Linked DNA regions of Drosophila melanogaster. The protein of the gene in region 2 interacts with the protein of the main gene of each other region in a pairwise test. Each region holds a gene or a part of one and is shown on either strand. Other genes may lie near its edges.

Region 1 (8,493 bases), 660 kb from region 2:
TCCGAACCCAGTCTCAACCCAAACCCAAGCTCAGGCTCAAGGCGGTCAGGTGCATTTATCGCAATTAAACACTTGTTGCTGCCAAAGCAAAGCAAAAGCACTAAGCAAAAAGGCAAAAGCAAAGCTGCCACCGCAAAAACAACGCCACATCTAACAAGAAGCGAGGCAAGATTAATACGTGTATTACGGCCGGGCCACGATTTCCACAACGATTCAACAACGATTCAACAAACGATTCCACAACGAGCTAATAGCAAATGTATTGTATATACGAGTATAGCTGTAGTAGATAGCTGCAGCTATATGGCAATTGCGATTTGCTTAGAATGCGACAACCGCCGGGCCCCAAATAAAAGCCCAAGTGCTGACCTTGTCAGTGGCTACTATGCTACCAATATTACCAATACAACTGCTTTGGTACGACCACCAATGTTGCTTTGGAAATCGATTGCACTGCTGAATCTCGAGTGGTTTTCCTTGTGTTTGATTTTTCAATTTTTGCAGCACAAAGCGTGAGCACAAACACACACACACACACACACAGGCCAAGGAGCGATTTTGATAGAAGAGAGGCGATTTTTTTTACGCCCGAAAGCGATTGGATTTATTTTGAATTTTATCAATATCAATGCTGGCATGGGAAGTTTCAGCAACAATATAATTTATATGCTTCTCCGCCCAGATGCTGCATTAAAATATATAAATAATTGCAATGTTTGGGTTAACCTCTTATCAATGGTTCATCTATAGTTAAAGAACACATTCCGTTTAAATCAACTGGCTGTCACTCAGAGTGGGCTATTCAGACCGCAGGAATTTTACAATTATATATTACAGCGCTCGTTAAATAATTAATAAGTGTAATATGAAACATATCAGAGCAGCTACATATGTACTGTGCCAAATATAATTACACTAATTAAATGAGCATGCAGAATTTAATATGGCCGTGTTCAAATGAACAGCTACAAGTGTAACACTTTTATCTACAAATATATAGAATATCTGCATGGAAATTCGATCTTTGTTGTAATTTAAAACCGTACGTTTTATACGAGTATGGTAAATGCAAACTCACCCGATAATAGTTGAAATTGACAAAATTTATGTTCAAAACATACCTTTATTTAGGAACGTTGCCACTTGGCAGCTTGAAAAATGTGCAGATACCGGAGGCACAGATGCAGATACAATGCAAACATTACTCAGCCGCATTGCTCGGCTACTAAACAATTTAAATGAAGATGTTCCCAATTGGATTCATGGTCAGGCGGCCGATGAGTTATTTATGCATACTTAAACACGCCTGGAAAATGCAAGGCGAAGAGCGCCTTCGGATATCTTGGCCATTTGGACACTTGGCCGTTTGGCTGTTTGGCTGCTAATTCGCAGCAGAAGCAATATTCGCACATTTATCGATTGCAAATCAATTTCGTGCAATTGCACATCTCACGTAATGTCGGCCCCTCTTGGCCAGGTCGAAACGCAGTGGCTCTGGCTCTGGATTTGGCTTTGGACTTCGATTTGGATTCGGAATCGGCTTGGGCTTGGGCTTTAACTGGCTGCAATGCATCGCTGCCGGATTACCCCTCGATTAATGCTGCTTGCATACAAATTGGCGCATTTACGTTCGCCTTCACCTGCTATATGGGAATCTCGGGGGGTCTTCCCTATCCACAAGATACAGATACAGATACAGATACAGATACAGATACAGATAGAGGTGCAGATACAGATATAGATACAGACACGCGCCTGCACTCGTTAGCCAGAAGCCTGAAGCCTGAGGCGTTTGCCTTCCTTTTGGCATTCGGCAGGCAGTTGGCCAAATTGCATAAACAAAATCGCGCAGCGAAATGAAAAGTGCGCCAAGTGCGAAATATAAATTACACCGCGAGCATTCGCATGCAAATTCCGATTCGGATTTCAATTCGAAAACATTGTCGCACGTTGAAAGTGGTAAGTGGCAAGTGGCAAGTGTCTTTCGGTGCAATCCTAATCAGCATGACTGGCCCAGTGCCAGTCACACTGCAAATCCCATCGCATCCCATCCCAGTTATCCCATTCCATTCCCTGGGTGCTGGATAGAAATGGCAACGAGGCGAGGTGACAACATAAGCAGACTTTTCGCGGGATTTGTCAAATATTTGCGCAACGCTGCGCTTATCCATCCAAAAAAAAGAAAAGCACTAAATCTCTGGAAAGGGAGATCCAAAACTGCAGCACCGAGTCCCAAAAACCCAGGAACCCAAAAAAAAACCCCCTACCCCGCTTGCCCACTTTTTTGTGTGCGCTTTCACGCCTCTTGGAAGGCGGGCAAACTTTTATTATTATTTCATTTTTTTTATGTTCGCCGCGCCTCGCAAGTTCAAAAAGTTTAATGCTATTTGACTTTGATTCAATGTTTGCATTGTGCCCGGGCACATCATCGATTATTTTCCACTTGACGCCCCACCACGTCAGCCCACTGAACATGGAACATGGAACACCAGAGCCACCAGAGCCATCCGCCCACGGATCCCGAAGCGAACTCCCAACGAATCCCCATCCGCATCCGAACTGGAATACCAGTTGTTTGTGGTGGACAAATGAAATATGTTTGGCCGCATCAAAAAGCCCTGGCACTGAAAATTGATAAATTGCGAATTAATTGAATCGCTATGACATGAAGTTTAGCACTATTTTCTCGTCTCGCCTCAATTAAAGAGTTGGCTGGGTTTTTCCTGCACAGATACTTAGATACTTTAATTGCATCCTTGAGGCCCATTTAATTGTGGCACACAAATCGATTTTTTAAACTCTGTTTCATTTCAGCACGATATGATGATATTCTCATGCATATTTCATTGAATGCATTTCATTGCCATTTAAATTTGGCCAACGAAAGTATTTGTTGTATAAAGGGCTTGGGGGCGTCCACTCTTTAAATTCTTTATGAACTTTAATTTCCAAATTACATCGCTTAATTGAGTTCGGATTTTAAATGGCTTGTAAAGCTGAGGCAAATTGCACATTTCTGCGCAGCTGAAATATGATTTACGTAATATAATAATATTTAATGCAACACATTTTTATTGCGACATTTCACTGAAATGCGTATCTTCTAAATATTTAAAATCCTCTTCTGGCCTTTTAGTCTCTTTTACAAAAGGTATGTATATTTTTGTATATTTTTGAGCATCAAGTAATTTCTTTTATAGCCAGCACAGAACAATTAGTCACGGATTTGTAAAACCAAATGTCACAGATAATATTATTTATTCTGCCAAATTAGTGAGCTGCTAAGTGGGAATTTAAATATTGATCGAACTGCTCTTGATCCAGTAATGAATGTTTTTCCCAATCTAATCAATTATTTTTTGGGTTTGGCCATATATAAAATACGAATGAATGCAAACTTGTTTGAAATACACAAAGACCACGGGAGTAATATAATAATCCAACTGGCGATTATCGATTCTTTGGCAGCCGTAACTCTTTTGCCATTGCAATGGCAAAACAATGAGTTATTTCCCAATTGCCGAGTGGGTTTGTTTGTGTATTAAATTTGGGAAATTCAATGAAATTTCACACATTTTTTCGTGAATGCCTGTGTGCTGGCAATTGGCTATGAGCTCTTCGTCGGCCCCTCCTGCACCTGCGGAGCGAATCCAACCCGTTTTGGGTATTTGGGTATATGGGTATTTTTTTTAGAAAGCCATCAACGCCAGCTACATTACCACCACCACTACCTACAGTGCCTAGCATATACGTAATGGCATATGTCATACGATTACCAGGTATACGGATAGCAGAGCAGATTGTCTATAATCCCATGTAATTCAAGACTCACCGATTTGCTGGCTGCACAGGCACAGATCCCACGGCCACGGATTGGATTGGAGTGGCTTTCCGCAAATTGCTGGCTAATTGGAGGGCTCGTGGATCTGCCAAAACGAATCTTGCTCGCTGGCATACAGGGATATATCTCTTGGTTTTCTATCTTTTTCAGTTGCCACTTTCGAAATATATAAAAATTCTCTAACCAAACGCGCTTTACAACTGCAGCACGCGCTGTTGCACAAGAGTAGCGAAAAGAGCGATGCCAAATTGGTTGCAACAGGTGGAAAAACTGGGAGCGCACCGCGATCCGAACCGAATCGGTTTTGTATATCCAGCGAATTGAGTCCCGAGTTTGAAAACTAACTTTTGAAGTCGATGCGAGCGTTACGCGTTCCAGAACCGCGCTGCCAGGCAGACGAAAACAGACTCAGCTCGATTGAGGCTCGCAAAAACCACAACACCTGACGGCGGCTTCTCAGTCCGTGGATCGGCGCCGTTCAGCGGCTCGATGGTGGTGCGCTTGGCATCTCAGCGGCTCAGCGGTTTGGTGGCTCAGCGGCTCAGCGCCTCAGCGACGGTGGCGTCGACTGCGACGGCGACTGCGGCGTTTTGTGGGCGGTAAGCCAAACTTAAAAAAAAAATCAAGTCAAATTGAGTGGCGCAGTTTGGACTGGCGATTGAAGTGTACACATGTACATAGTCGTACTAACTTGCCGCACCTGAGCATCGCTTTCGGACACTGCCAGTGTTATGATCCAATTTTATGGAGCCTCGTAAAGCCGAAGCATTTGAGATATATTTGCGGTATATGTACATCGGACTTCACTTAAGCGCTGGTCACTTGGGTTAAAATAGCGCCGGTTACTTAGCTTACAGCTTGCCATTCATCCTATTAAATGGAGCATTTTGAAGGTTCCAAAGCATCTTTAATAAACAATTAACAAAACGTGCTGGTAATCAAAGATTACGCCAGTATCTTTTACAATTGCCTTATTCAGTTGAGTTTCAAAATTGAATATTCCCATACCCAATGTATACTAGTAGTTATCATTCCAACGAAGATGACGAATACTCAAAATATTAGCAAAGATTTCGAGATGAACTGTAAATATTACTCATACGCAGCGTGTACATATATCATATATTATGAGGCTCCATATAATTGAATACATAGCGATTGAATTTTCGGATTATCATTATGATTGTTAAGAAGTGCAAAATGATTAACCGAAAATGTATTGGATTACTTTGCATTATATGTATGTTCTTTTATCTTGTATAAAAAATTCCGTTGTTAATTAAGTGATGATAGCATATGATTATCATGCTGACCCCAAGTTGTGTCTGGTAAATAAAGTGATTACTAGATGAGATCTCTGAAACCGTGCTGGCTAATTAAAGACATTCGGCGAACCTGGACCCTGTCTTTATAGTTTGATCTGTCTGACAGGGCTGAACCCACACGGACCTCCGGCTCAGCTGACTCATCCTCGAGTGCAGTGCACATCCGCTCCATCCCTATACGAATCCCAATCGAAAACCCAGCCCAATTGGTATTCCTGCTCCGTTCGCCCGGAGACGTCGTTCGACGTAGTTCGCTCATAAATTTTGCATTTGCTGTGTGATTTTCCTTTTTAGACGCGACAAGATTTCACTGATTTCGCATATATCCCAGCATTTATAATATATTCGCCTGGGCCGAGTATTCTAAGTCGAGTTCAGTACTGTTCAGCTGTTCGGCTGGTAATCGCAGTGCCGCCATCAATCACGTAGTTCCCAGCATGTTTTGTCGCCGATCCCATCTGTATCTGTATCTTGACGCAGTATCTTCTCACACCAGAGCCAAGCTCAAAGAGTCTATAAACTCGAATATCTCTCGCACAAACGCTGTACGAAAACGAAACAAAAGGCCCATTAATGACAAATGCGAAATAACGAAATTAAAATAATAATATTCGCGATCAAGACACTGCATATTAATGGTGGCCCCATCAAAAGACACTCAAGTGCACACTTTTCAGGTATGATCCGATCTTGTTCAGCTCTGTTCAAACACTTGACAATGACATGATTCGCTTTTGATGTATAATTACTTCACTTTCGAGGTACAACGGCCTGCAGATTGTTTGATGCCTTTATTTATGCTGTGTAATTGCTTTGAAATGCCTCTTTACTTATGCAGATTTCGGGGCTCCATTATATAAAAAGTTACGATTTGTAGGCGGACAGTTTGCAATGAGCAAATAGGGCAACATTTACCCAGACAACTGAGTGTTACCTTTTTGAGTCAATACCTTGAAAATCTGATTTCTCGCCGATTTTCGCACCTGGTCTTAGTAATTAGCTTAAAAAGTTATTCTTCGTTTCTGACATAGTCAGTTATTAAAGGTTCAACTATCTACCTGTTTATTTTCAAGGGCATTGAAATACGTTCGAGCCAAATTAAAATACTTTTTAAGCTGATCATTCTACGATTATTGTTTTTATAAACTATTTAGTTATATGGTGGTTTTTTTTTATGTTCCACACAGACCGTTTATGGACCGTCAAATTAGCTTGCATTACCAGGCTCAATCGTATGGCCAAAATCATATGGACTAACCAAACAGTCGAGCTGAAAAGCGAAGTGCAATAAACGCAACCGAAATTTAAGAACCCAATAAAATGGAGCACTAAAAAAGCGAAAGTTGACCTTGGTGCTCTTGAGCGACAAGAATCCGGGCCGAAATCGCGGATCCATCCAAACGGTTGCACCCCCAAAAACTGGCCAGCTTCGTCATCGCGATAATAGCCAAGGCAAATTGCCAAGTCATTTGGGTTTTTTACCTCTCGATATTCTAACAAATCGACTAGCAAATAGCGCCGTTCAAAGACAAACAGAAAAAGAAAACAGCGGCCATAACAAATCAAACTCAAAGTCCAGAAGCTGCAAATCTAAAAAGGTAATTGCCAGGGCTAATTCGGCATTTGGAGTGTGTGGAAAATTCGTCGCGTCACCGCATAATTATTCGAGGAGTCTCGATGACGAGATGATGGCCAGTAGTGTCTGGTAATTTGCCGTTTCAGCCGTGATTTACTATTGACTCTGGTGTCGGGCTGCTTGATTTATTTTATGGCCAGACGGAACGCAGCGTACGCCTCCAATATGTTCTTAACACACAAAGAAACCTATGCTTTCAATACCCTTCACAACTTGAAGAAGCCAAGGAATGATATATACTATAAAGATCTTGGAATTGGTCGCTTACTCTCTAATTGCAAAGTCAAGCAAATGCCTGAATTTAGTGGTGAGCAATCTAATTTGGGAACACTTCTGGGAACACTTCTCGACGGAATTCCCGGAGTGAAAATATGGTTTGTGACAATGTGCAACTTCGCCATTCAATGCAAAAATAAAATGCCCCATCGAGGGTATAAAAGTATCAGTCACGGTAGAATGCAGAATTACCAACACATTGGCTGGAAGACACACATGGACATGGCTGAACGGAAGCCATTGAAATTCAGAGCGGGTTCAAAGACGCTCGGCCACGGCAACAAATCGTGCAAACAACAACTCGCCGAATTGCATGGAGCAACATCTTCATTCCCGGCGATTTTATTGGGGGGTAGGGGATCGTCGGTTGGTTGGATGGAGGATATAGGAATGGAGATGGAGATGGTGATGGGGGCGGCATAAAGACGCAGTCACCAAAGCGATTCAGAGAAATGCATTCTAGTGCCTTATTGATTGCGTTTCGCGTGCCACGCCAGAGTGCAAAAACTATGAAAATCTATTAATTCCACTCGGGGATAGGCAAATGCATCTCAAGTGGCTCGGACAGGGGAAACCGGTGATGGAGGAAATGGGGGATCTGGCGGATCCGGAGGAGCAGCGGCCAAGTGGCTGACGTCGACACGGACATGGCTTTTGGGCCGTTGACAGGTGTTGACTGCGCTGCGAGTCAGGCCATTAATGAAAACAGGTACGAGTCGTAAACAATGTACGAGTTTTCCGACTACCAGATACCCGGTGGTGGTCAGTCGTTTATTTCGTCGAAAATAGCATAGTTTCAAATGGAAATTAGATACAGTGCGCTCCTTGTCGCTTTACTTTAACTTTAATTGAAATGGAAATCAGAGGCTAACTGACGTCAATTCGTTTGCATAGCCGACAGCTATTAACTTTAAAATATTAGTCTATGTACTTCGCATTTTAATTAAATAATAATGTATTCTTCACATCTAATTATAAATCTAGAGGCTTTAATGTTTATTCCATTTCACAACAATAAAATATTTAACATTTATACCTCATATAGGGTATATACCCGTGATTTCTGAAAAGCAGTGAAAATGTTACGCGAATAATAGATATCCATCTATATTCGAATTTTTCGAAGCTTAGCGTGCACTTGACTTCCGACTTTGACTCCAAAGCTAGGTGCCTGGCAATTGTTTGTTTACCGAATCTAATAATGTTGACTTTCATCAATTAATAAATAAATAAGGTGGGAAAAACACGCGGGCAATTAGCCAGGGAGCCATATATCCATATATCTTAAGTGGCAAGTGCGGAATCGATTTTTGAATGTCAATGTCATAGTGCAATTAGAAGAGGAGGCTTCCAATGGCCAACATTTAGAGCCAAGCTAACTTACTGTAACCAAATTTAAAAGCCTATTAAATACG
Region 2 (7,684 bases):
AAACTTAATGAGGTACTCGAGGAAGAGCGCAAGCAGGAGGAGAAGCTCAACGACGAGTTTAGCAGCTTGGCGCCCGAACTGCTGCCTTTCATAGAGGAGAACCTTACGGAGTGTGAGTTCATGCAGTTCCGCTAGTTCGACGTATATATTAAAGTTTATTGTTATATTACAGTTCCCGATATGCAGTTCGACAAGGAGGAGAGCGACGAGACCTTGATGGAGCGGATCATTCCGCTGATGCGCGAAAAGAACTACAAGGATGTTATTGTTCTAGTGCGAAAGGTAGACTTTTTGGCGGGAAATCAGAATATGAGGTATGTTGCTAATCAAAGATGGTTTTGTTTTACCATAAATATATTTACTTTCCAGTTCCTTACTGAAGCACGAGGAGCATTGCGTGTATGTGCTGGCCTTGCTAAAGACATATCACCTGCTGGCTGCTGGATTTAAACAGAGCGTATGTTTAATCTTAGAAAGTTATATTCCCTTCTAACCAAATCTTTTAATTTAGAGCGAGGAAATGCTGCAGCAAATCAAAACGGTGCAGTTCCTAAAAGACAGCATTGACTTTGCCGTCTTGATGACTTCAGCCTTCCCCAAACTGCACGAGATGCTCATGTCCAAGACAAACACGGATGTTTTTGAGGCGGTGGACTTGTTCACCACCGGGTACATGTTCGGAATTCACGGCACGGAGTCGGGAATGCAGAGAATGCTGCAACTGGTCTGGTCTTCGGACAAGGAGAAACGAGATGCAGTGTCGGATGCCTACAAGCGCGTTCTGTTCTCCACGGACCAAACGGGTCGCGCTCATGCCATTAAGGTGGTGCAGAACCTGTCGAAGTTTCTTTCGGAAATCGAGTATGGTCACTACACGGCCTTGGAGTCGCTGATGACCGAGTGGGTGTTGGGTGGCGACATCGATGCTGCTGTCATCCAGGTGCTCTTTGAGCGCTTCACGCTAAAACTGGAGGGCACTACATCCAACGAATCTCGCCTGTCGCTCCAGCTCCTGATAATGGCCTCGCAATCGAAGTCTAGTATTGTTTCGGCCAACACTGCCATCATCGAGGATATCGCCGTCGGAGAGCGGGTGCGTCGGGATCCACGGATATTTACCTCCTGTCTGCAGCTGCTGGTCAACTCAATCGATGCAAACAACACTGCCAAGTATTATAAGCGTCAGAACAGCGATGCAGAATTCGTGGGAAAGATCACGCGGCTCTTCCTCGACTTCTTTTTCCACAGAAGTCTATACGACTTCGACGCACTGGCCATGAGTGTTTTTGAATACTTCTATAGGATGTGCCAGGCGCCGGATGTGATTGCGCAGCAACTGGTGACGGCTTTACTCAAGCAATTCAATGAGAGCTGGCTGGTCAAGGAAGCGGCTGCAATAGTTCCCTCTCCAGACAAAGCGGATACGGAAACTGTTCCGGACTCGCAGCCCTTGGAGATTCCGCATTCGCAGACCCTTACTCCCACTCAGACTCAAGCTGATAGCCAATCGCAGATGCAAGGCACCTTGATTCCCGTGTATCTCGTCTCCCGCTTAATCTTTTGCATCGGCTACATGACCATCAAGGAGATGATCTTTCTCGACATGGATATCTATAATAACATGAAGTATCGCGACGAGCTGACGGCTCTTGAAGAGCGTAAAAACCGCAATCAGCAGGCGGGAAGTTCACATAATGCGGCCAGACTTACGCTTAATATGTCAGCGATGGAGGTGCGCAAGAGGCTGTCCGGAGTGGCAGCGGAACCACAGCAGGAGCCAGACGACGATCTGGTGGGAGCGACTGCAGAGGACAACATCGCCGAGGAAATCCACGGCATCTGCGAGGACATGCTGCTTTACAACCCGGATGCTCTGCTCTCCAAGCTGGCGCCATTTATCATAGAGATTTGCAAGCGTCCAGGTGAGTTTGGTGATCCCACGTTGCAACAGGCCGCTACTTTGGCTCTGGCCCGGCTCATGACCGTCTCCTCCCGTTTCTGCGAGTCCAACATGAGCTTTTTGATGAACATCCTCAACCTAACGAAGAACATTCGAATCAAGTGCAACACGGTGGTGGGGCTGTCGGATCTCACTTTCCGTTTCCCAAACATCATCGAGCCGTGGACGGGGCACTTCTACGCTCAGCTGCACGAATCGAACACCGAGTTAAGGCTAACTGCCGTCAAAATGCTATCTCATCTGATCCTCAACGAGATGATACGCGTCAAGGGTCAAATCGCCGACATGGCACTTTGCATTGTGGACGGCAACGAGGAGATTCGCAATATCACCAAGCAGTTCTTCAAGGAGATAGCCAACAAGTCGAACATTCTGTACAACGTCCTGCCAGATATCATCTCCCGTTTGGGGGACATAAACCTCAACCTGGATGAGGACAAGTACCGCATTATCATGTCCTATATCCTGGGTCTCATCCAGAAGGATCGCCAGATTGAGACGCTAGTGGAGAAGCTGTGTCTGCGCTTCCCGGTAACGCGGGTGGAGCGTCAATGGCGCGACATCGCCTACTGCCTCGGCCTGCTCACCTACAACGAGCGAGCTGTGAAGAAGCTAATGGACAATATGCAGCACTACAGGGACAAGGTCCAGGTGGACGAGGTTTATCAGTCCTTCAAGCTCATCATTAGCAACACCAACAAGTTGGCCAAGCCGGAGCTCAAAGCTGTAGTCACCGAGTTCGAGAACCGACTGAACGAGTGCCTGCAAGTCAACCCGGATACCGCTGCCCAGGGTGATCAAGAAAGCACTCCAGAAGGTCAGGGCAACAGAACCAGAGCGGCGCCAAGGACAAAGAAGGGTGGTCGCAAGCCGGCGGCCAACAGGAACAATACTGTGCGAGGACGCGGAAGACGTGCTCGCCGGGATTCCACCTCAGAAGAGAGCTTCAGTTCCAGCAGCAGCGACTAGTTCGTGCTCCATCTTAAGTTACGATCTGAGCGGGTTTTTAATGATGTACAAAGATGGTTTTTAATAAAATAGTTAATAGAACCTATTATTGATATATTTATTACTTTGAAGTCAACAAACATCTAGTAAACTACTAAGATCCGTTTCCACATCCATCAGAAAGGGAACAAATATTTGGTTGCACTAAGCTACTGGGATGGGGAAACCAACACACGTAAATGGCAATACTCTAGACGCTTTGGAAGTACTAAGTTTGGTGGTTGCGTTCATGTTGTCTCTGGGCCTCCGACAGATGAGCACTGGGCACTGGCTTCACTTAATTTTCTTGCGAAGGGAGCGCTGGAGGGCAGGACCGTCGTCCGCGGTGCTCAGCGCAATGGCAAACTGGGCGGCGTAGTAGGTGATCATGATCTGGAGGCGGGCGCAGGGCAGGGGCACGCCCACGAACATGGTGACCGCGATCAGGGCGTCGGAGATCACAAACAGAATGGCTCCGATGGCACAGAACACGGCGAGGAAGTTCCTGGAGTCCACGGCGCGGGCCAGCGATCTCCACAGCATTGTGGTGATCAGGAAACAGTAGATGGGCACTCCGATGATGAGAATCTCGTCCAGTTTCGTGTGCACGAAGTAAACAACTGGGGGTTTCAAATATTCCAGGTAAGGTATACGTATATAATGACCAGTAAACTTACAAAGCGATACGGCCACGTACAAGAGCAGTCCAATGAACCACTTTATGGGCTTCCAGCCAAAGGCGCTGATATAAAACACGTGCGCCACTCCAAAGGAGATCATTCCGAAGGGAAAGAGATTTATGTTGAGCAGAGCATCACCACCACTCGAGAAAACCAGACCCAATAGAATCCAAAGTGAGCGACGGTATCTGTTAAAAATTTCTTGTTAATAAGTAAGTAGTATATAGTATTTCGATGCTATAAAGCTTACTCCTTCTTGAGCGAGATTCCCTTGGCCACCACATAGAATACAAGCGCGAAAATGGGCAGGCATTTGAGCACGGTGGTCCATAGCTCTCCTTGAGGATCCTTCCTCACCAGCGAGAAGTATAGGACAATAGTAACCAGGAATGGCACCAACTTTGGGCCTTGCGACTTAGCCTATAATCGATACATAGTACATAATTTTAAATATATTGCTTTAAGTATTTACAATAATTATCTTAATATGATTACGAGGCTTAACATGTTGCCTGGTCTTAAAATAGCTTAAACGATTATAACAAATCGAGCCACGGAGGTCCAAACTACAGCCAAATCAAGTGATTAGGGAAATCGAACCGTTTCGGGGGGCAGATTAGATTAGGGTTGGTTCTTGGGGTTGGCTCGACGGAACCTCGTCACCAAACATAAATGGGCTTTGCATGGAATTATTAAGGGGGGGTCTAATGGGCTCGGGTGGTGGGCGGCACTCGAGTGGTCCTTCAAACTTTCGCTTTCAATGCAGGAGCTTTCGAAGTGCGCCCGTCCGGAGAACCGAGAGATGTGCAAGGTCAAGGACGAAGCTTTGTGTGCTGCGTCTTGGTTCCACTTTCTGCGTTTAGATAGAGCATCCGCAATGCACACATATACATATTTCGCATAATTTCTATATTATCAATGAAGCTTAAGACCGTGAGATTCCTGAATTCCAGAACCTGCGCTACTTACGAACTGCCCGAAATCGTTCATTGCGGCCGTAATTAGTGCAAATTACAACTATTAGAGAGGGTTAAAAAAAAATCCGAGCCAGCCAAGCTGCACTTTCACACGATGCGAGCGCGGAATGGAAAATAAACAAAACTATACAGTGCCCCCCCGAAAATGAAAACAATGGAAAAAGAACACGTTGCGCACGGTCGGCCAACGTCAATAAACTGAGGCGTATCATATACATTTTCGATTCGCTGGACTGAAAAGTTTCCGATTGCTGGAGAGTGAAAAGTTTTCAGCCGGACATGTGGTGTGCAGCATATGCAGCATTCTGCAGATACGGATATCCCACAGATACAGATACAGATACATTTTGCGGGCCCAGGAGGGCAGATTGATTATTTCTTACCTTTGCCGTTTGGTGGAGAGCGGGAAACTCGGAGAGCGCTGCTCACGCAACAGGTTAATTGAGAATTGACCGTTGGGCAGAGCTTTTCCGCCAGCATCAGAATGTATCCGTGAGATACACTCATGCGCACTCGCTCTCCGCTCTCCGCTCTCTTTGTATCTTCAAAACAATGCAACAACCTCTGCACACTTTCACTTGCCAAAGCTTTCTCCGCAAAGCTTGGCTGGCTCCGGACTTTTTCGCCACCTTACTGTGGCCCAAAGTTCATTCCGTTTCGGATTGTGGCATTTTTCAGGCGTGCGAAAAAATTCCTCAGCGCTCCAAGAATTTCCACAGCAATTTTGGTCACTGCTTTAAAGTGAGCATAAAGCCAAGAGGCCAGCGAAAGAATTTTTATTTTCTTAACCAAGTAAGTGCTAGCCCAAAAGTATGCTATTGTTAGGCGTTCGAGTGTCCCAAGTGGAAAAACCTTGCTTGATTGAGCTGGAAAATTGTGTATCCGTGGGTGCTTCCTGCAGGCAAATACACACTCCTGTAGAAAGCAGGAGGTGGTGAAAATTAAAGCTGACCAGTGTGACACACATCGGGCAGCAGCAGCTGGCGGGGATTGGGGCAGGAGCGGAGCTCGTAAATTATGCAAAACGAAATTATGGTAATGCCACTGGCCAGAAAGCACGAGTGGGATCCTTGCCAAGAACGAAATAAAGAAGGACTGCCACACACTTGACCTCCAAGGAGCAAAGCCACACAAGACACTGCAGGGACTCGAGCCTATGTGGGCCACCAGTGGGTGGTGCACGTAGCAGGCCAGCCACCCACTCACACAAGTGCACGTTGAACTTGAGAAAAGAGCAGAGAAAAGCCCCGGGCGGAAAATGCACGATACACATCGATTAGATGACTGTATTTCCGGAGAAAACACACATCTCAATTATAATTTCACTTGAATTGATTAAATGCTCTTAATGGGTTTTTGAAAGTATTGAAAAGTGTTCTTTTTATCTCATACCTCAAATTATGCAATAAAATGCAAACGCGTATTTTATCAAGTTTGATTGATTTGCGTTCAATAATTGAATTGTTAAATTGTATAAGCCACTAATTGCACCACACAAATCCCCCAAAATAGATCGAATAGAGGCCACCCGAGAGGCGAGCACGCGACATGGCGTGTCCTTTCTTCAGGCGTGCGGACTCGCTGACACGCCAGCCCTCGGTCATCGCCGAGCCTGGTGGCCACTGGGCGCTCGAGGACGAGGAGCTCTCGGACGACGCCCTGACCCTCACCCACCTCCAGATGGCCATCCAGCTGCTGACGGCGCCGTCGAACGAGGATCTCAACACGGCTGTAACGTCTTTGGTGGCCAAGTACCGCCAGAACTGGCCCAATATCCACAAGCTGTAAGTAAGCATTATAAGAAATTATATACTAGATATAAACTATATCTAAATATACCCTAGCAAACTGGATCCGCAAACCTTCAAGAGCTGTGCCAACTATGACTACTTGGCGGACATCCAGGAGCTGCTGCTGAAGATGGACGAGGCCAGCGCCAGCGAGATTCTGGTGCTGCTCGGCGAGGAGCTGATCACCTGCTGCTGCACAGGTATCATTGAAAGAGCCTTCCGCTGCCTGGGCACCGATCTGCAGGAATTCCTGGGCTCCCTCGATGGCGTTTACGATGTGCTGAAGCTGCAGGAGGTCAGACTTATAGATAATGTTCCTACCTAAATGCTAAACTAAGTCCGCTTTGATAACCAGGAGGACGTCACCGATACCGGATTCGTGTGTGCCGGCGAGGGCGAGCTGATCTTCACCTCGGAGCGCCCGGTCATTGCCTGGTTGCTCCTGGGCTCCCTGAAGGCGCTCACCCGCATGCTCTACAAGGTGGACGTGAACATCAAGATCGAGCCCGTGGAGGGCGATGCCCGGCGGTATCGCTACCTCTTCTCGCTGGTCAAGGACAACTCCCAGACCATGCTGATGGGTCGTCCCACTTCCGTGAGCAAAACCATCCCGGAAACGGTGCAGCGGAGCAACTCGAGCAACGCCTCCGACCTGCAAATGAACTCGTCCAGCTTCTGCAAGATGTTTCCCTGGCACTTCATCATGAACGAGCAGCTGGAACTGGTGCAGTTGGGCAGGGGATTCAGCAAATTGTACAAGCCCTACATGGCGGACTTTGGTTGCCAGGCGACCACCTACTTTGATTTCAAACGACCCAAGGGATTGACCATGAAATTCCGGGACATCGTGAGGCGCACCTACACGCCTTTCCTGATCGGTTTGAATAATCCGCCGGGCGCTGTGGATTTCCCGGCCATTGGACTGGAGATCAAGGGACAGATGGTGCACTGTCCCGAGTCCAATTCGTTGCTCTTCATTGGATCCCCCTTCCTGGACGGCCTGGATGGGTTGACCTGCAACGGACTCTTCATCTCGGACATACCGCTGCACGACGCCACCAGGGAGGTGATCCTGGTGGGCGAACAGGCTCGGGCCCAGGATGGACTGCGCCGGCGCATGGACAAGATCAAGAACAGCATTGAGGAGGCCAACTCGGCGGTGACCAAGGAGCGGAAGAAGAACGTCAGTCTGCTGCACCTCATCTTTCCCGCGGAGATCGCCGAGAAGCTTTGGCTGGGCTCCTCCATTGACGCCAAGACGTATCCCGATGTTACGATCCTGTTCAGCGA
Region 3 (8,204 bases), on a different chromosome or scaffold from region 2:
TTTTACCTACCTGTGGTTATCGTCGATGTCCAAAATTAGGTCCATTTTTTTGTGTATACAGATTCGGACTTATATGCTATTAAATAAGCTTTAATTTAAACTTTAAATACAATTTTTTTAAATTAAAATTAACAACTGCTTTTACATTTTCACATCCGCCTTCTGGTTCCATCGATAACATTTAAAAAAAAATATCAAGTTGTCATCCCTGTCCAAAATCTTAGCTCAGACGCAAACCGCCGCATCGCTAACAAAAATATTTACAAATTTTCATTGCCTTACTTTTACCGAATAGATTTTAGTGCAATTGTCATCCCAGCGCCACCATGACGATGCGACCTGATGACCACCGAAGGAAATGGGACAAGAACGAGTACGAGAAGCTGGCGGCGGAGCGGCTGCTCAACCAGGTGGCACCCAAGGAAGAAGGTCAGTGTCTAAATTCCCTGGAAGGCACACATAATAAAAGTCTTTTTGTTTTTCACCAGAACCCGTACAGCGGGAGAACCTCAAGCGACGCGACTATAAGGTGGACCTGGACAGCAAGCTGGGCAAGAGCGTTGTCATCAACAAGAACACACCCACCTCGCAATCCGGTGGCTATTACTGCAACGTTTGCGACTGCGTGGTCAAGGATTCCATCAACTTTCTGGACCACATCAATGGCAAGAAGCACCAGCGCAATCTGGGCATGTCCATGAAGGTGGAGCGGAGCACCGTCGACCAGGTAAAGGAGCGCTTCCAGCAGAACAAGAAGAAGATGGAGGAGAAGCAGAAAGACTACGAGCTCGAGCGCCGCCTGCGGGAGGCCAAGGAGGAGGAGGATCGCTACAAGGAACACCGCAAGGAGAAGCGAAAAGAGCGGAAGCGCAAGGCCGAGGACACGGACTTCGAGTCCGGCGGCATGCCCGACGACATGGCCGCCATCATGGGCTTCTCCGGCTTCGGTGGATCAAAGAAGAACTCGTAGGAACTAAGTGTTGAACTGCCCCTCCCCTCCAATTTTAGCTGTACCATGAAATAGAAACTAACCACAAGACGACGCGTCTAGTTTAGCTTGTGACATTTATTTTGTATATAATTTCACACCAGTTCAGAAGACACCAGCTACCCGGCTGTTCCCAGTTAGAATAATTTAATAAGCAGTCAGAAGGCAAAAATTACTAAAAACCATTTTACTAAATCTAAGCATACGGCCGTGGATCACCTGCGGAATGAGCTTAGGTGAACACAAATCCCTGCTCAGTGGGTATGTCCCACGGCATGGTAAAGAACTCCCCGGGCAGCTGGGTGCAGTGCGTCGAGTTATAGTCACGTAAATGCTTGCGCAGCTGAAAGGTGAACAGTATTAGATATATAGACCATTTAAACTGCCGAATAAACCCACCAAGAACACAGCCATCAGATTGCGCACCTCCTCCGAGTAATCTGCTCCAATGTTCATGGGGAATGACTTGCCCTCGTCAGAGGCGTAGGTGATCAGGCGCGACATGCACAGCTTCTCGTCGGCGACGGGGATACTGTATGGTTCCAGGGGCTTAGACAGCAGCCCCTTGGCCTTATTCAACTGGGAAGCCCCAAAAATGTTGGGATACCGGTGCTTGAGCACTGACAAGACCAAGAAATTTCCGCGGTTTGTGTCAATGTGGTTGTCCCTAATGGAAATCAATGGGTTACGTTTTAGGAAAGACCTCTGCCCAAATGCAAAAGTTATCACTCACTCTGCAATGATCTCATCCTCAGTGCGGCGAATAAAGGATATGGGTCCATTGAACTCGTTGGCCAGTTCGGCATTGTTCAAATTACAGTAGTTTCGAATGGCTACCTTGACAATGCCCGCCAGTGCAGCTGGCATGCGAGGAACGGCCAAGTAGAGCACATCGTCGAAGGTGGCGTCTAGTACCACTCCCTTGACATCCGGATACACAGAGGCAGCGTATAGTGTACTAAAGCCACCAATGCTCCAGCCATACAAAATTATATCCTCTACGGGGAACCTAAGATTGTTGATGGCAAACTGCACCACGGCATCGATGGCGTTCTTGTCCTGGTGGGGATGAGGAGTGCCTGTGCTGCCGGCAAATCCGGGATGATTCCAGCCCAAAACGGAATACTTTAAGGCCACTGGGGTGGCCATAATGCCCACTTCATAAAAACCGGCATTGCCCTCGGAGCAAATGACTAGAGTCTTGCCATTTCCCACGTTGTTTGGGCGATTGTCAATGAACAACGTATCGATTTCGTTCGAGTCAATGGTCTTAACCTTGTAGCGGATGCCGTTGTCATCCTCGATGAGCTTGGCGCGTCCGGAGATCAGCATGGGTCCTGCAAAATATTTTAGGTTCAGTATATGTAGAAGTCTATCTTATGGGCTTATCGGATTGCAATTTAACAACATTTCAGACAGCTTCACATATGTATATCTTTCTTACTCATAAGTTTCTGGAGTAGTTTGACCGAACCCGGATAGATCATGGAGAGCCCAAAGGTGTTTATGGCCAGGTAGGCGATGGCCTCACAGGGCAGTGTCGCCAGCTGGATGGGCTCCCGCCTTCTAGCCGTAACCACCGGCTTTTTGGTATCACTGAAAACGAAGATGTTATTCTGGCACACTTCAAAGGCGTAGCCCACTCACCCGGTTAGAGCTTTCACATCAAAGTCCACCGGCCAAGCGTTGAACTCGATGTCGAAGCGACGCAGCTCGCTGTTGGCATCTCCTGGTGCCTTGGAGGACTTTGCTCGGACGAGGGCCTTAATCATGTTGGAGTAGGAGCGCGATTGCTTGCGCCCCAGGCCGCGCATCACCAGCGATAGGATGACGATGAGGCCCACGCTGGTGGTGATCTTGGCCAGCGTCGGTATGGAATCGGTCACCAGGTAGCCGCGTCGGTATAGGAATGTGACGAGCAGCGGAGAAGTATAATAGCCCACGGACCACATAACCGATAGCTGCAACGGAGAGTGTCGATTTTCCACATTACCATATGCTCCAGATTCTGCCCCATGGGATCGCAGGGCACTTACCGTCGATAGAATCTGCTCCCCGAACTTTTCCACGGCACCTGCCTCGTACATCTTGCGCTGCGGCTCCGGCACACCGCGGTATTCCATGTAGAGGTTGGGGCCAAACACGTAATTTAGGAAACTCATCTTGGATCGGATCGTAGTCGGTATGTCTGGATATATTTAATTTTCTCTATTTTATTTTGTTGCAAATGATGTGAAAGCTGTTCCAGGGTGTCGCACTCACGAACAGATGTTTAACATCGAATACCAGGGCTGCCACATTAGATACCTGACCTATTAATTGTAAACTTCAAAATGTTGGTCCAAATTATTAAATGCAATAAAATATGCAGAGAGGATGTTTGATAATTTAGGTATTAATGTGTATGTATGTATTTTTTTTGAATTAAATGAAATTCCCAATTGGAAACTGAAAGCTCACACAAATGTGTACCTTTCGGAACTAGATCCCCTAATTGCTGTTATCAGAGAACGAGCCATCCCTGGTTCTACCCCAGGAATTTATTCCCAGTTGATAGACAAAAACGCCGGCTTAAAAATGGAAAAGTTTAATAAAGCGCAAGCTAAAAATTTGGCTGCCGCCCAAAAACTGGTGGACACCTACGCCTCCAGCTCCGAGGATGAAGGCGAACTGGATGAGAATCACATTTTGGGTAAATCGACCGATGCTTGTGACGTGTCATTTGAAAACCATCAAATTTTGTGCTTTATCTTTTCAGAACTCCTATACAAGAACTACAAACCGTCGGACAACGCAGGAAGCTCAAAGGAAGCGGCACGCACCAGTACGTTTCTGGAAAACACTCTACACTCGGGAGCGGCAACCTGTCTCATTTGCATCGGAAGCATTCGGCGGGTGGAGGCCATTTGGTCTTGCGAGAGCTGTTACTGCTTCTTTCACTTGAAGTGCATCCAACGGTGGGCCAACGACAGCATGATGCAGATGAAGGTAAAGGCGGCAGAGCAGCAGAACGGCCAGGGCCACTACAATCATCTGGGCGAATTTGTGCCGCCCAAGCGACAGAAATCCCTTCACTGGTGCTGCCCCAAGTGCCGCAGGGACTACCAACCGGCCGATAAGCCCACGCAGTACAACTGCTTCTGCGGCAAGGAGGTGAACCCCGAGAACCAGCCCTTCCTTGTGCCCCACTCATGCGGAGAGCACTGCGGAAAGCTTTTGCAACCGAAGTGTGGGCACGATTGCAAGCTGCTATGTCATCCGGGGCCATGTCCTCCTTGTGCGCAGCAGGCGCAGGTCTCGTGCCTGTGTGGTAAATCTAGTCCTAGGTCCGTGAGGTGCATTGACAAGCAGTGGACGTGTCAGCAGACTGTAAGTCTTAACGTTTTAAGAAATTTTGTCTGACCACCATACTAAAAAAATGATTTTCCAGTGCAAGGAACTTCTAGCCTGCGGCAAGCACAAATGTAATCAGGTGTGTCATCAGCCAGGAAAGTGTCCTCCATGCACCAGCAAAAGCTTACAACCTTGCGAGTGCCAGCGGGAGTCGAAGATGGTCAACTGCTCCGATCGGAAATGGAAGTGTCAGAATGTAAGAAAAGCCTTTTGAAGCTGAAGCATAAAACAACATTAATATTCTTTCAGGTTTGTGGAGCTCCATTTGCTTGTGGTTTGCACATTTGCGAGAAGGTGTGTCACGCTGGACCCTGCGGAGATGGAGAGTGTCCTTTGCAAGTCAGGAGTTGCCCATGCGGCAAGAATGTATGTGATATATTTATTTACAAGTTTATATTCATTTATGATTACCTAATTCTGTAGACCCAGGTAAGACCCTGTAATGAGACAGAGGAAACCTGTGGCGATACGTGCCAAAAACTTTTGTCCTGTGGCCAGCACACTTGCACCCAGCGTTGTCATCGTGGACCTTGCATTTCCGTAAGATAGCCACCAGGGAAGCAAATCGATTCTCTAATGAAATATGTTTCTTACAGTGCCCAATAAGAACCAAAAAGAAGTGTCGTTGTGGTCTGCACGAAAAGGAGTTGCCCTGCTCCAAAGAGTTTGCATGCGAGACTAAATGCAAGCAAATGCGTGATTGCGGCAAGCATGCATGCAATAGAAAGGTATAAGAGCACGCAAGCATTTTAAATGTATACAGCCGAATTAACCAATAACCTTTTTTAAAGTGCTGTGGGGACCAGTGTCCACCGTGCGAAAAGATTTGTGGCAAGCAGCTGAGCTGCAACAAGCACAAATGTCAGTCCGTGTGCCACAACGGACCTTGCTATCCGTGTAAACTGGAATCCCAGATTAACTGCCGCTGTGGAAAGACCAAAAAAAGTGTTCCTTGTGGCAGGGAAAGAAGTGCACGCATTGTCTGCTTGGAACTCTGTCGGTTCGTATTTCTTTCGCAATATATAATGACCGACTTTTAATCTCACTTCTTGCAGCATAACTCCCAAATGTCACCATGCCATTAAGCATCGTTGTCACAAGGGTGACTGTCCTCCATGTGGCCAAGTGTGCGGTCTACCCAATGACACCAGCAAGTGTGGGCACATCTGTAAGGCACGATGCCACGAGGCAGTTAGAGTTAATAAACCCAAAGAGGCTAGGCCACAGGCCAAAAAGGTAACTATAATCACAAAACTCACCTATCTCAACATTAAAACTCTACAATTTGTTTTACAGTATGAGTATAAGGCATTACCACATCCACGGTGCGAGGAAGGCGTCATTGTCACCTGTATCGGAGGTCATGAGGTTGCCACTTGGCCATGCTGGAACTCCAAACCCACTTCCTGTCAGCGATCGTGTGCACGTCAGCTTAAGTGCGGCAATCACAAGTGTTCATTGGTTTGCCATTTCGTACCGCTTCCCCAGGATATGTCTGCGCAAACTGGCTGTGCCAACTGCGAGGAGGGTTGCACCGTTCCCCGACCAACCGGATGTATTCACGCCTGTCCCAAAGGATGTCATCCACCGCCCTGTGCGCCCTGCAACTTTGTGATTAAGACCAAGTGTCACTGTGGACTCAACCAGTTGGTTTACAAGTGCAACGAGTATTATGATGAAACGGGATCGGTCCAGGAGATCATCGAGCGAAGAGAAAAGCTACGGAGCTGCGGTAATCGATGCTTGAAGAATGTAAGTGCTGTAATATACCATTGTCGATCAAGCCTTACAGTGATATATATATTTTTTCAGTATCCTTGCGGACATCGCTGCACAGCCATCTGCCACACAGGCAAGTGCCCAAATCCCGAGTTGTGCCGCAAGAAGGTTCGCATTTTCTGCGCCTGCAAGCGACTCAAGCAGGAGATTGCCTGTGACAAACACCGTGCTGGTCAGACATTCTTGGATTGCGACTCGAACTGCAAGGCGGAGCAAATTCGCGTCCAGGCGGCAGAGCAACTGCAGCTGGAACAAAAGCGTCGCGACGAGGAAGAAAGAAACCGCCTGGAACTCGAGAAGTTCGAGGCCAAGTTCGGCAAACGCAAGCACAAGGAGCGCAAAACTGTGGGTTCTGGACCGGCCAAGACCAAGATCGATTGGCAACGTAGAGCAATCTATGCAGTATCCATTCTAACAGTTGTGGGTGCAATTGTGGTGGCTTTCTACGCGGACAGTTAAACGAGTAACAACAACCGATTCAAACAAGAATTTGTAATATCAATTTAAACAGATAAGCAAATAGAATTAAAACAATGACTGATAAGCATTTCCAGCCAGCGCAGTGTTTGTCTATGTTGAGCTTTTCTAATCAGGCTGGCCAATTACTCCGCCTTGGCCTTCTTCTTGTAGACGCAAGCGGCGGTGAAAACGGAGGCGCTAAGGAACGTCGAAATCAGGAAGTTTGATAGCAACATCCAATCGTGGGACTGGAAGAACACCGTGTAGATTCGAGCTGTAAGGGATACATATATGATGTGTTAATTGATGACATCAAGTGATGGAATGCAAGATGTGATCTCACTCATGTTTGTAAAGGCGGAGAGCGCCCATGTGGTTCTACTGACGGAACTGGCATCCTTGGTCCTCAGAATAGCCAGCAGCTGGAGGACCTTACTCGTGGCTCCAATGGGAGTGCAGAAAGGCTGACGGGAAATCAAACATTTAGATGAATTTCACGAGATTTATATATATTGCCCGAGCACTGAAAGTATTAATAGCCGCTCAAATATTATACAACAAACATCGGTGACCTTGAGCGAAGATGCTGCCCAGTTAAGAGCACCGCCTTTTCAAACTAAAACAAATAACAAATCAAACCAAACCCGTTTGCCCGGAAACATAATTAGTTAATTGGAAAAGAGAGCGGGGAACGGGTTTGAACTGCGCCGAAGTCGTTATCTGGGCAAGAATACCCGACTAATCAGTCACTAGGTGATATCAATACAGGCTTACTCACCACCAGGAACTTAAGGATGATAATGGGAAAGAGCTTCATGTATATGAGAGTGGCCACTATACTATACAGTATGGCCACCACTTGCGTCCTCCTTCCCAGCAGATCCTGGTACTTGAAGGCGTAGTAAATCAGGGCGTACTCCTGCAGCAGCAAAACAGGATACTCCATGTACGAGAGGAAGTCGTAGCCACTGGTGTAGTTGTACGACAACATCACCGTATAACTGAACAGCTCCAGGCACAGTCCCAAAACACTGATGCCTAATTCATAAATCCGTATCATATGAGTGGGAGGATAGGTTGCAGATGTTGTGTGGGCGGTGCTCACCTTTCGAGGACTCGTTCGCCCGTATCGTGTTTATCTGCGGAACCTTGATCACCAGGCAGGACGAGACCGTTATCAGGCTAAGGAGGTCCGCCACCACGAGCACTGGGCCGCGCTCCAGGTATTCGGACACCACATCTCCGAGAGCTCCACTCATAGCGACCGTCGAAATTCGAAATTTGCAGCTTCTGAGTGTGACCTTAACATTGTGTGGACGGAAATGCTAGTGTTACCACACTCTATCACTAGTAAACAAATTAACGATATTTGCTGTAATGGTTTCTAATTATTTTATAACATAGCAATAAATAACAAACTCATGTCATTTTTAGGGTTTTCAAGAAATTTCTATAAGTTATAAAATATAAGTATAAAAATTAAAAACTATGAAAATAGAAACAAGTTTTTTAAACATATAATAATTTTAGTAATTAAGCAATCAAAAATATAATATAAAATATAAGCAATCAAAAAAGAAAAGTA
Region 4 (7,675 bases), on a different chromosome or scaffold from region 2:
CACCCATTTGGTTATAGTTTTCGGGAAACCACAAACCTATGGTCGGAATATTTGATCAATTCTGATTTCTTGATTAGCATAACCGGGAAACCAATCGGCACCTACGTAACGTTACAAATCATATGGACGACGATACCGAAACCCGTTTGAAAGTTATAAGCTGGGTGATAATTCGTTTATGGCCAAAAAGGGGACTTCCCCCGAGCTCTAGATATGCGTAAGATGGTGCTACTTACTCGCCAAATTCGGAGATTTTGGAGCCCAGCAAGGTGGCTATCTCCTTTCTGGTCATGTCGGCCAGCGTATTGACGCCCAGCCGGAATCCGGACACGCCGTTGTCGGCGTTCTTATTGCTCAGCGTGATCAGCGACATCTTGGCCGCGAAGATGCTCTCGCGATAGACTCGCTCCTCATCCGAGTACACCTTGCCCGTCTGCCGGAGGAAGTCGTCGAAGTTTTGCACATCGCAGAGCTTGGGAAACGACTGCAGTTGCTGCAATGACACAGCACCCAGCAGGGCCAGTCCCAGCGTCATCTGCAGCCACATCGTTGAGCACATCCGCATCTGGAACGGTGGACAGCAGAGCGAGTGGAAAGCGTTAGGTAACCACTTGGCCAATACATAGTTACACCATCCCATCCCATCTCATCGCATCCCGCGACCCCTTTTCATGCCCCTTTTCTTGCCACATCTATCTGTCAACGTTAATCACTTGGCCGCAACTCGACCCGTTCATTCACCTCCAATCGAACCAACCTGCCGTGCAGATCGTGAAGTTTCCTATAAGTGGAGCCGCTATAAATATTTATTTATGGACATATTAAAAGCAACGTTGCTTCCTAGAAAATCTGCACAATTTGAAAACAGGCCACACTCAAAATCTATGCGTTTATTCGATATTAAAATGTTTATCCAGTAGATACTTTTTATTGGTAAATATTCAGTGGAGTGTCTTCATTGACATAAGAAATGATGTTATGTCTTTTTGAGTAATTTGAGTAAGTACAATGTTTGGCAAAACCAAAATAAAACAAAGAAACTAATAAATTGTTTGTTTAACAAGCTTGGTTTTGAAGAAACTAAACCGTTTAATGATCGCCTATGCAGAAATCAACATTGTTTCTAAGACAATCAAAAACATAATGATCGATTAAACGAATAAAAAACTAATTATTATTGGTTTTTTCTATCACGCTGACTATCCGCTTCTGTCAGCAATCGCGTTAATGGGTAATTAATCATGCGCTGTCTTAATTTCTCAACTTTATTCGATCTTACCAAATTAAATAGACTTTTGAAACTAGCAGAGCATTCGCTGTTCGTATTTCCGGTCTGTTTTACGAATTCGATCACCGATGAGACGTGAATAATTACTGGGTGAATGAGCTAATTTGCATATGCTTAGCATAATTACATTAGTGCAAGCATTCGATTCGGATGAATTTCGAAATGTATGAATGATTTCGCGGCTTCGTCTCTCCTTTTATTTCCTCAGCTCCCAAATTGGCTCCATCGAGGGCCCAAATAAATCAAAATCAAATCTAGATTAGGCAACCGCAGGCTAAGATTTCACTTTCGTTGCCATAAAATACTGATCACATGCTGTGCCCGGTGAAAGGCGATGGATTCCCCTGTTTAAAATCAAATTTCGAGTCGAATGTAAGCAATTGCAGTTCTCTTGTCTTCGACGGACCATTATGAATCGAAAAATAACAACACACACGACACAATATGTTGAAAAGATCGACTTAATCACCTTTTATGGATATCTGGGAATGATATGTTCAAAACACCTTCCGCGTTCACAAATCACAAAACTATTCGAAGATGCTGAAGACTCGAAGACCGGCGAGATTATAAGCGGCGCTCGACCCGCACACCTTGGTTTTATAGAGTCTGGAGCTGGACCGTGGGACATATGGCCAAAACTGGATGGGCCACCAATTTGAAACTTTTGGAATACCGACAAGAGCATATTCATCTTCATTTCGACGGGCTATCTGGTTTATGGGTCTATAGCTGTCTCCATTATATGCATGCTTAGTAATTGTCGATTGCCTAATGTGTTGGTGGCTATAACAACGCATATTAACTCATTTGAAACAAAAGAGAAAATAGTCAAACATGTTTTTAAATAGTTAATAATTGATGAGATCGAAGTCACAGTTGTAGCGCCTATAGGATTACAAATTTCAATGCAGCAAGCAAAGTTTTAGGAAAGTTTTTAAAGCGTCTCTAAGTAGTTTGTACTATTATATCCCTTGTAAATAAATAACACTTTGATTTTTATGTAAATAATACAATTACAGAATGATAAAGATGCAGACGGATGAATAATGGTCTCGACTTTCAATAACTATAAATTGAAATTGAACCATGAAGAGATTGATTAGTGGCCAATTTATTTGCATTTCAATTAACAGATTCGTGGAATCTGAATTTGTTGTTGCGTCTACTAAAAAGTTCATTGACTGCTGAAATCCCTTATGGACTTACCTACATATTTGCAAAATTTCAAGATGATCCCTCATTACTACTTCGAATATATACTACCTGTAGTATATGCTAGACTACCGCAATGGAAATTACCAAACAACTCACTTAGCACTTGGTTTACAGCAATTTGGCCAAGTCTTCCAACGGGCCTATCTATCTATCTGTCTATGTATCTTTCCATCTACGTATCTATCTATCAACGCTGTTGCAACTTTTATGGGCGCCACAAAGTATGACTGTGATTAATCATGCCTGCGCTGAAGACAAAACCTGAAGACTAAACGATAAGTTGGCATTAGAGGGGCGTTTACGATGCTCCATGGGCATATGGGCTTGGGTGTTTTTTTCTGAACTGGGCCAGTGGGGATTTCGAATTAACAGAGATACGAGAACCCACCGCCGAATCGCAACGATACGAAACGGGGCATTTGACAAGTTTATTGGGCAAACAAAGCGCACCCCGACTTTTCCTACCAACGTCGGCTTATCGAGGAGACCCAACCCGGAATATGAATACTACGGATAGTACGTTTGAGTGCTGCTGGCCAAGTGCGAATTCAAGGCCTCGTAGAAATCTACGAGTATTTGCACTTTTCTTGCGAAAGTAAGTCGCTTTGGTAAACTTCTATTTGCGTTTGCAATCAGAAGGAGAGTTTGCCGGTGCCTATAAAAGATCGTTCCATGGTTCTGGCGGCATTAGTTGGTGCGGATTTGGGTTTTCGTCATGTTCAAGTTGCTACTTTGCTGCCTTCTACTAACCATCGACAGTGGATGGGCCTTTAATCATGGCCAGGATCTAGTGGACTTTCAAACTTACGAGGTATGTGAGTCATCAAGAAAACAAAGTCTGGATGGGATTTAATTAGAAATTATATCTTGTATCTTATGGCATTGAAAAGGATTGTATTGAGTAATGGAATTCAAATCTTTCCATTTACAGGACAATTTCAACAAGACCTATGCCTCAACTTCGGCTCGCAACTTCGCCAACTACTACTTCATCTACAACCGCAACCAGGTGGCGCAGCACAATGCCCAGGCCGATAGGAATCGCACCACCTACCGCGAGGCAGTGAATCAGTTCTCGGACATCCGGCTCATCCAGTTCGCAGCCCTGCTGCCCAAAGCCGTGAATACGGTGACCTCGGCGGCCAGTGATCCACCGGCCAGTCAAGCGGCATCTGCCAGCTTTGACATTATCACGGATTTCGGACTCACCGTGGCGGTGGAGGATCAGGGCGTGAACTGCAGCAGTAGTTGGGCCTATGCCACCGCCAAGGCCGTGGAGATCATGAATGCCGTGCAGACAGCCAATCCTCTGCCCTCGTCCTTGTCCGCCCAGCAGCTGCTGGACTGTGCGGGCATGGGCACCGGATGCAGCACCCAGACGCCCCTGGCTGCCCTCAACTATCTCACCCAGCTGACAGATGCGTATCTCTATCCGGAGGTGGACTATCCGAATAACAATAGCCTGAAAACGCCGGGTATGTGCCAGCCCCCATCCTCTGTGTCAGTGGGCGTGAAGTTGGCCGGCTATTCCACGGTGGCCGACAACGATGATGCCGCCGTAATGCGTTACGTATCGAATGGATTCCCCGTCATAGTCGAGTACAATCCGGCTACCTTTGGATTCATGCAGTACTCCAGTGGCGTCTATGTCCAGGAGACGCGTGCCCTGACCAATCCAAAGAGCTCACAGTTCCTGGTGGTCGTGGGCTACGATCACGACGTGGACTCCAATCTGGACTACTGGCGCTGCCTGAACTCCTTCGGCGACACGTGGGGCGAGGAGGGTTACATCAGGATCGTGCGCAGGTCCAATCAGCCCATTGCCAAGAATGCCGTCTTTCCCAGTGCGCTTGCCTAAGAAGGATTCCGATTTGACCTTATTTCAAGTTAATAAACTTAAGTTTTATGTGTAAATTTTTATATGATGATTTTGTTTCGGATTCAGTAGATGCTGTAAGTTCTTTAAAAAAACTTAATGCTAGTAAGCAATACTATTATTATTATTATAGACGCATTATCTTTAAATCAACTAGAATTCGAGTAACAGATTCGGGAATATCTATAATAACACTATGATGATACCTTAAGAGTGTGCCTATCTATATCTATGATAGTTCATAGAATAGAAGAATAGTAATAGAACCATCCAAGAAATAGATTTGGGAATATCTCAAATAAAGCTAAGATAATTCATCGAGATCTTGAATATTACATAAAGAGTAATCTTGAAAAAAAATCCCCCGTCTTCTACCAAAAAGTATCGTTTGGTTTTTTGTTGTGAAAGCTTACAGCTTTTTTGTCTCCATTTATTGAATTTACCATTTTATTTAGTTTATTTATTGATTTTTCATCTACAAGCGGAGCTTTACAGACTTAAATGCTAAAAATTAACAAGTTCACTTTATTTTCTTTTCTTTTCTTGTTTTTCGCATCTTTGATCTGCTTATGGATTTTATACTATTATCTTTGCAGTGTTTTCTTTTTCTGTTATGTTTCTCTTGCATAATAAATAAGTTTCCCATTTTGTTGCTATCCGTGTTGCTGTGATATAAAAACGAAAGGAAATTATATAGATATATATAATATTTAGGTATTATATTTATGGTTATAGAATATTCGACTCAGCCAGCGCAGACAAAAGCTTCTTTTTTTTGGTGTGTGTTCTTTCTGTAGATTTCTTAATCTTAGTTCTCGTAAATTTTTTAAGTTTCAGTAACTTGTTTGGAAACGTTGTTATTATAAATACTTCTCGTTATTATATTTCAATTGCGTTAAATAATTTGAAATATATGTATGTACGTTGTGTTTGCATTTTGTTTTGTTTTAGTTTAGGTTTTTAGTTTTTAGTTTTTATTTTTGGTTTAGAATGTCTTCCCGTCTTCTTGTGAAGCAAAGCTCAATGATATGATTCACGCTGAAAGGTGATTTAACGATTTTTATTATTTCAATAATTTTGCAGTTTATAAAGATTGCGTGATCTTGTGTTTTATTAGGTTTTTCTTTGTTTTTTGTTTTTTGTTCTGGATGTGCTTGAGTTGCAATATTTAGGGTACTTCCTTGGAAAATCGTTGCGGATGAAGAACAAAATCGAAATTATCCATCGTAATCGGTTTAGTTGTGGAACCTTAAGTACTGTGACTAGTTAATGGGGTATTGATTTTAAATTTCCTTCTTTTTCGCCATTTAATTACTCTCTTATTTTTTCACTATTACGATACCAACGGCTAGTGTTTGTTATTATTTTATAAATTAAAATTAGTTAGGTTTATCTACATATGCTCTCGCTTCTCTCTGTATTTATCTTATTATCTTTCCGTATAATTCTTAATAATATTTAACTAAATAAATATAATGTTATATAATTTATGCAATTTCTCATGTATATATATATCTTTGTTTTTTGCTTTTGTTTTCTACACAAAATGATGTGTTTGTAACTGGTTTTTATATGTTGGCTAGTGTTTCTGTTTATTAATATCTTGCAATGTTTTGTGTTGACTGTACCTCGGTTTGTGTTCGAATCGCATTGGGGACACAAATCAAAATGTTTATGGACTTTCCGTCTAAAGTATTAGGAAGATTTATGTATATCAGCCATGCTAGCAGCTCCACTTCCGCCGGAATTTCGCGGAAATCCGTTGAAAATGTATCATAGGGATCTCATGGCTATATAGTATGGTTTAGTTTTCGTGAAGCCTACAATGGACAAACTTTATTATTTCCTTCTCGTATTTAGTATTTGATGGATTCTCCTTTGGTTTCATTTATTTACTCTGTATAAATTTCAATGCTATTCTCTTAATTTTCTCACTACGAAAATTGATTTTCTGCTTCCAAATGAGTTATGAATACCAAATTATTGCAACTTCTTTGCCGTAAAGATTGGTGTTCATCCTTAGAACTTGCACTAATCGGTTTCATAAAGGGTTTGCCTTTGAGGATGCCCTTCCTCATTTATTTTATTGAATTGCAAAAAACAGATCTCAAATTTTGAGACTAGTTCACAGAACAAAAGCTTATAAATCAAATGAAACTATGGATTACCTTCCAAAAAGGTTGTAGATAAAATCCCAACATATAATATGACACCAAATAATAAAATAATCCTGGTTACTGCAAAGTATTTATCGCAAATAGATAGATGTTCGTCTTTAAAATTTGCACTTACAGGTTTCTTGAAGGGCAAGCCTTTAAAGATTCACCCAGTTATAAACTAAAATGGAAATACTTTAAAAAAAAACCAAAGAGGAGAACGCAGTTTTTAGTAAGAAACCCTTTTTCGCTTGATCTCGTGGAAAAAGGCATTCCTACATCGCTGATTTTGAATTATTTTGGGTTACGACTTATGTTGTAGATCAAGGATCTGCATTTCTTACTAAGGACTTTTTTTTAGGGTCGACGGTTGAATTTTTTTTTTTAGGCGGAGACATTTACTGGCAGTTTTTCTGTATTTTAAAATTAATTTCGAACAAAGGCTTAAAAAAGGTTATTATTTTATTACTGCCCCCAAGAGAGTGTGTGTTACCTTTTTCGATTTTATCCTGTTTGATTTATATAATGCATGCGAACGCATAAGGTAAGTTAATTTCCGTATTATTCTTATTCAATTTACGCTTACGAACACATTAAATGATATATTAAAGTAAATTATGCAACTAAATGAGCATCAACTGCAGAACTGAATCGAAAAACCATTGAAAACAAACTCAAAAACGATAAGTACAGTTGAACGCAATGAAACGCTAATTCGAGCCCAATTTACGAGCTCTGGAATCGTATTGTGTGCCTCGAGTTCAGCAGGAGCGCCAATCCGGCGGCCACAATGAGGGGCAGCATCATCCACTGGCCAGCAGGCGAGTTGGCCCCGTTGCACAGATCCTTGGTGCAGGAGCAGTAGATGGCGGCCACGTCGTGGGTTCCCGAGCGTCTCACGCACTTGTTGTCGGTGTTTTCGTCTGGGATGTATCCGCATCCACGCACAATCCGGGTCTTCCCGTAAACTATGAAGCATTAGTTGGCATTAGTTATCGACTTTTTAAAGTTACTATTGTGGACCTACTCTTTTGCACGGTTTTGCGGCACAGGGTGGGCTTGTATTTGTCCTTCAGATGCTCCAGAGGCTCCTGTTTGCTGCAGTTCACCTCGCCAATGGAGTACGGCTCGAAGGGA

Evidence for each region.
Region 1: the proteins of CG7582 (region 2) and wat interact in a two-hybrid assay, tested with the Drosophila melanogaster proteins (one large-scale study listed by BioGRID).
Region 3: the proteins of CG7582 (region 2) and CG1309 interact in a two-hybrid assay, tested with the Drosophila melanogaster proteins (one large-scale study listed by BioGRID).
Region 4: the proteins of CG7582 (region 2) and CG6337 interact in a two-hybrid assay, tested with the Drosophila melanogaster proteins (one large-scale study listed by BioGRID).

Annotation. Positions count from the first base shown.
Region 1 is NT_033777.3:29,016,191-29,024,683, forward strand, and holds the start of wat (waterproof), read right to left. Parts: upstream 4,217-8,493; 5' UTR 3,833-4,216; intron 1-3,832. UniProt on the Drosophila melanogaster protein: Catalyzes the reduction of saturated fatty acyl-CoA to fatty alcohols. The preferred substrates are C24:0 and C26:0. Necessary for the final stages of tracheal maturation, to facilitate the transition from water-filled to gas-filled tubes.
Region 2 is NT_033777.3:29,677,250-29,684,933, forward strand, and holds CG7582 (uncharacterized protein), read right to left. Parts: upstream 4,793-7,684; 5' UTR 4,618-4,792; coding exon 4,597-4,617; intron 4,048-4,596; coding exon 3,878-4,047; intron 3,816-3,877; coding exon 3,242-3,815; 3' UTR 2,992-3,241; downstream 1-2,991. Other genes in the region: CAP-D2 condensin subunit, read left to right, coding at 1-112, 173-314, 370-457, 512-2,929; Gycalpha99B (guanylyl cyclase alpha-subunit at 99B), read left to right, coding at 6,153-6,388, 6,449-6,689, 6,750-7,684.
Region 3 is NT_037436.4:4,254,489-4,262,692, reverse strand, and holds CG1309 (uncharacterized protein), read right to left. Parts: upstream 3,264-8,204; 5' UTR 3,151-3,263; coding exon 3,025-3,150; intron 2,950-3,024; coding exon 2,636-2,949; intron 2,585-2,635; coding exon 2,433-2,584; intron 2,326-2,432; coding exon 1,722-2,325; intron 1,656-1,721; coding exon 1,388-1,655; exon of another isoform or gene 1,332-1,387; coding exon 1,221-1,331; 3' UTR 1,050-1,220; downstream 1-1,049. Other genes in the region: CG11586 (uncharacterized protein), read left to right, coding at 327-429, 489-970; CG15011 (uncharacterized protein), read left to right, coding at 3,566-3,680, 3,747-4,357, 4,419-4,577, 4,631-4,747, 4,805-4,921, 4,978-5,109, 5,173-5,381, 5,437-5,617 and 2 more; CG1265 (uncharacterized protein), read right to left, coding at 6,763-6,893, 6,963-7,083, 7,398-7,657, 7,725-7,878.
Region 4 is NT_033778.4:13,830,609-13,838,283, reverse strand, and holds CG6337 (uncharacterized protein), read left to right. Parts: upstream 1-3,187; 5' UTR 3,188-3,221; coding exon 3,222-3,317; intron 3,318-3,437; coding exon 3,438-4,364; 3' UTR 4,365-4,709; downstream 4,710-7,675. Other genes in the region: CtsL2 (cathepsin L2), read right to left, coding at 237-565; CG6329 (uncharacterized protein), read right to left, coding at 7,265-7,506, 7,566-7,675.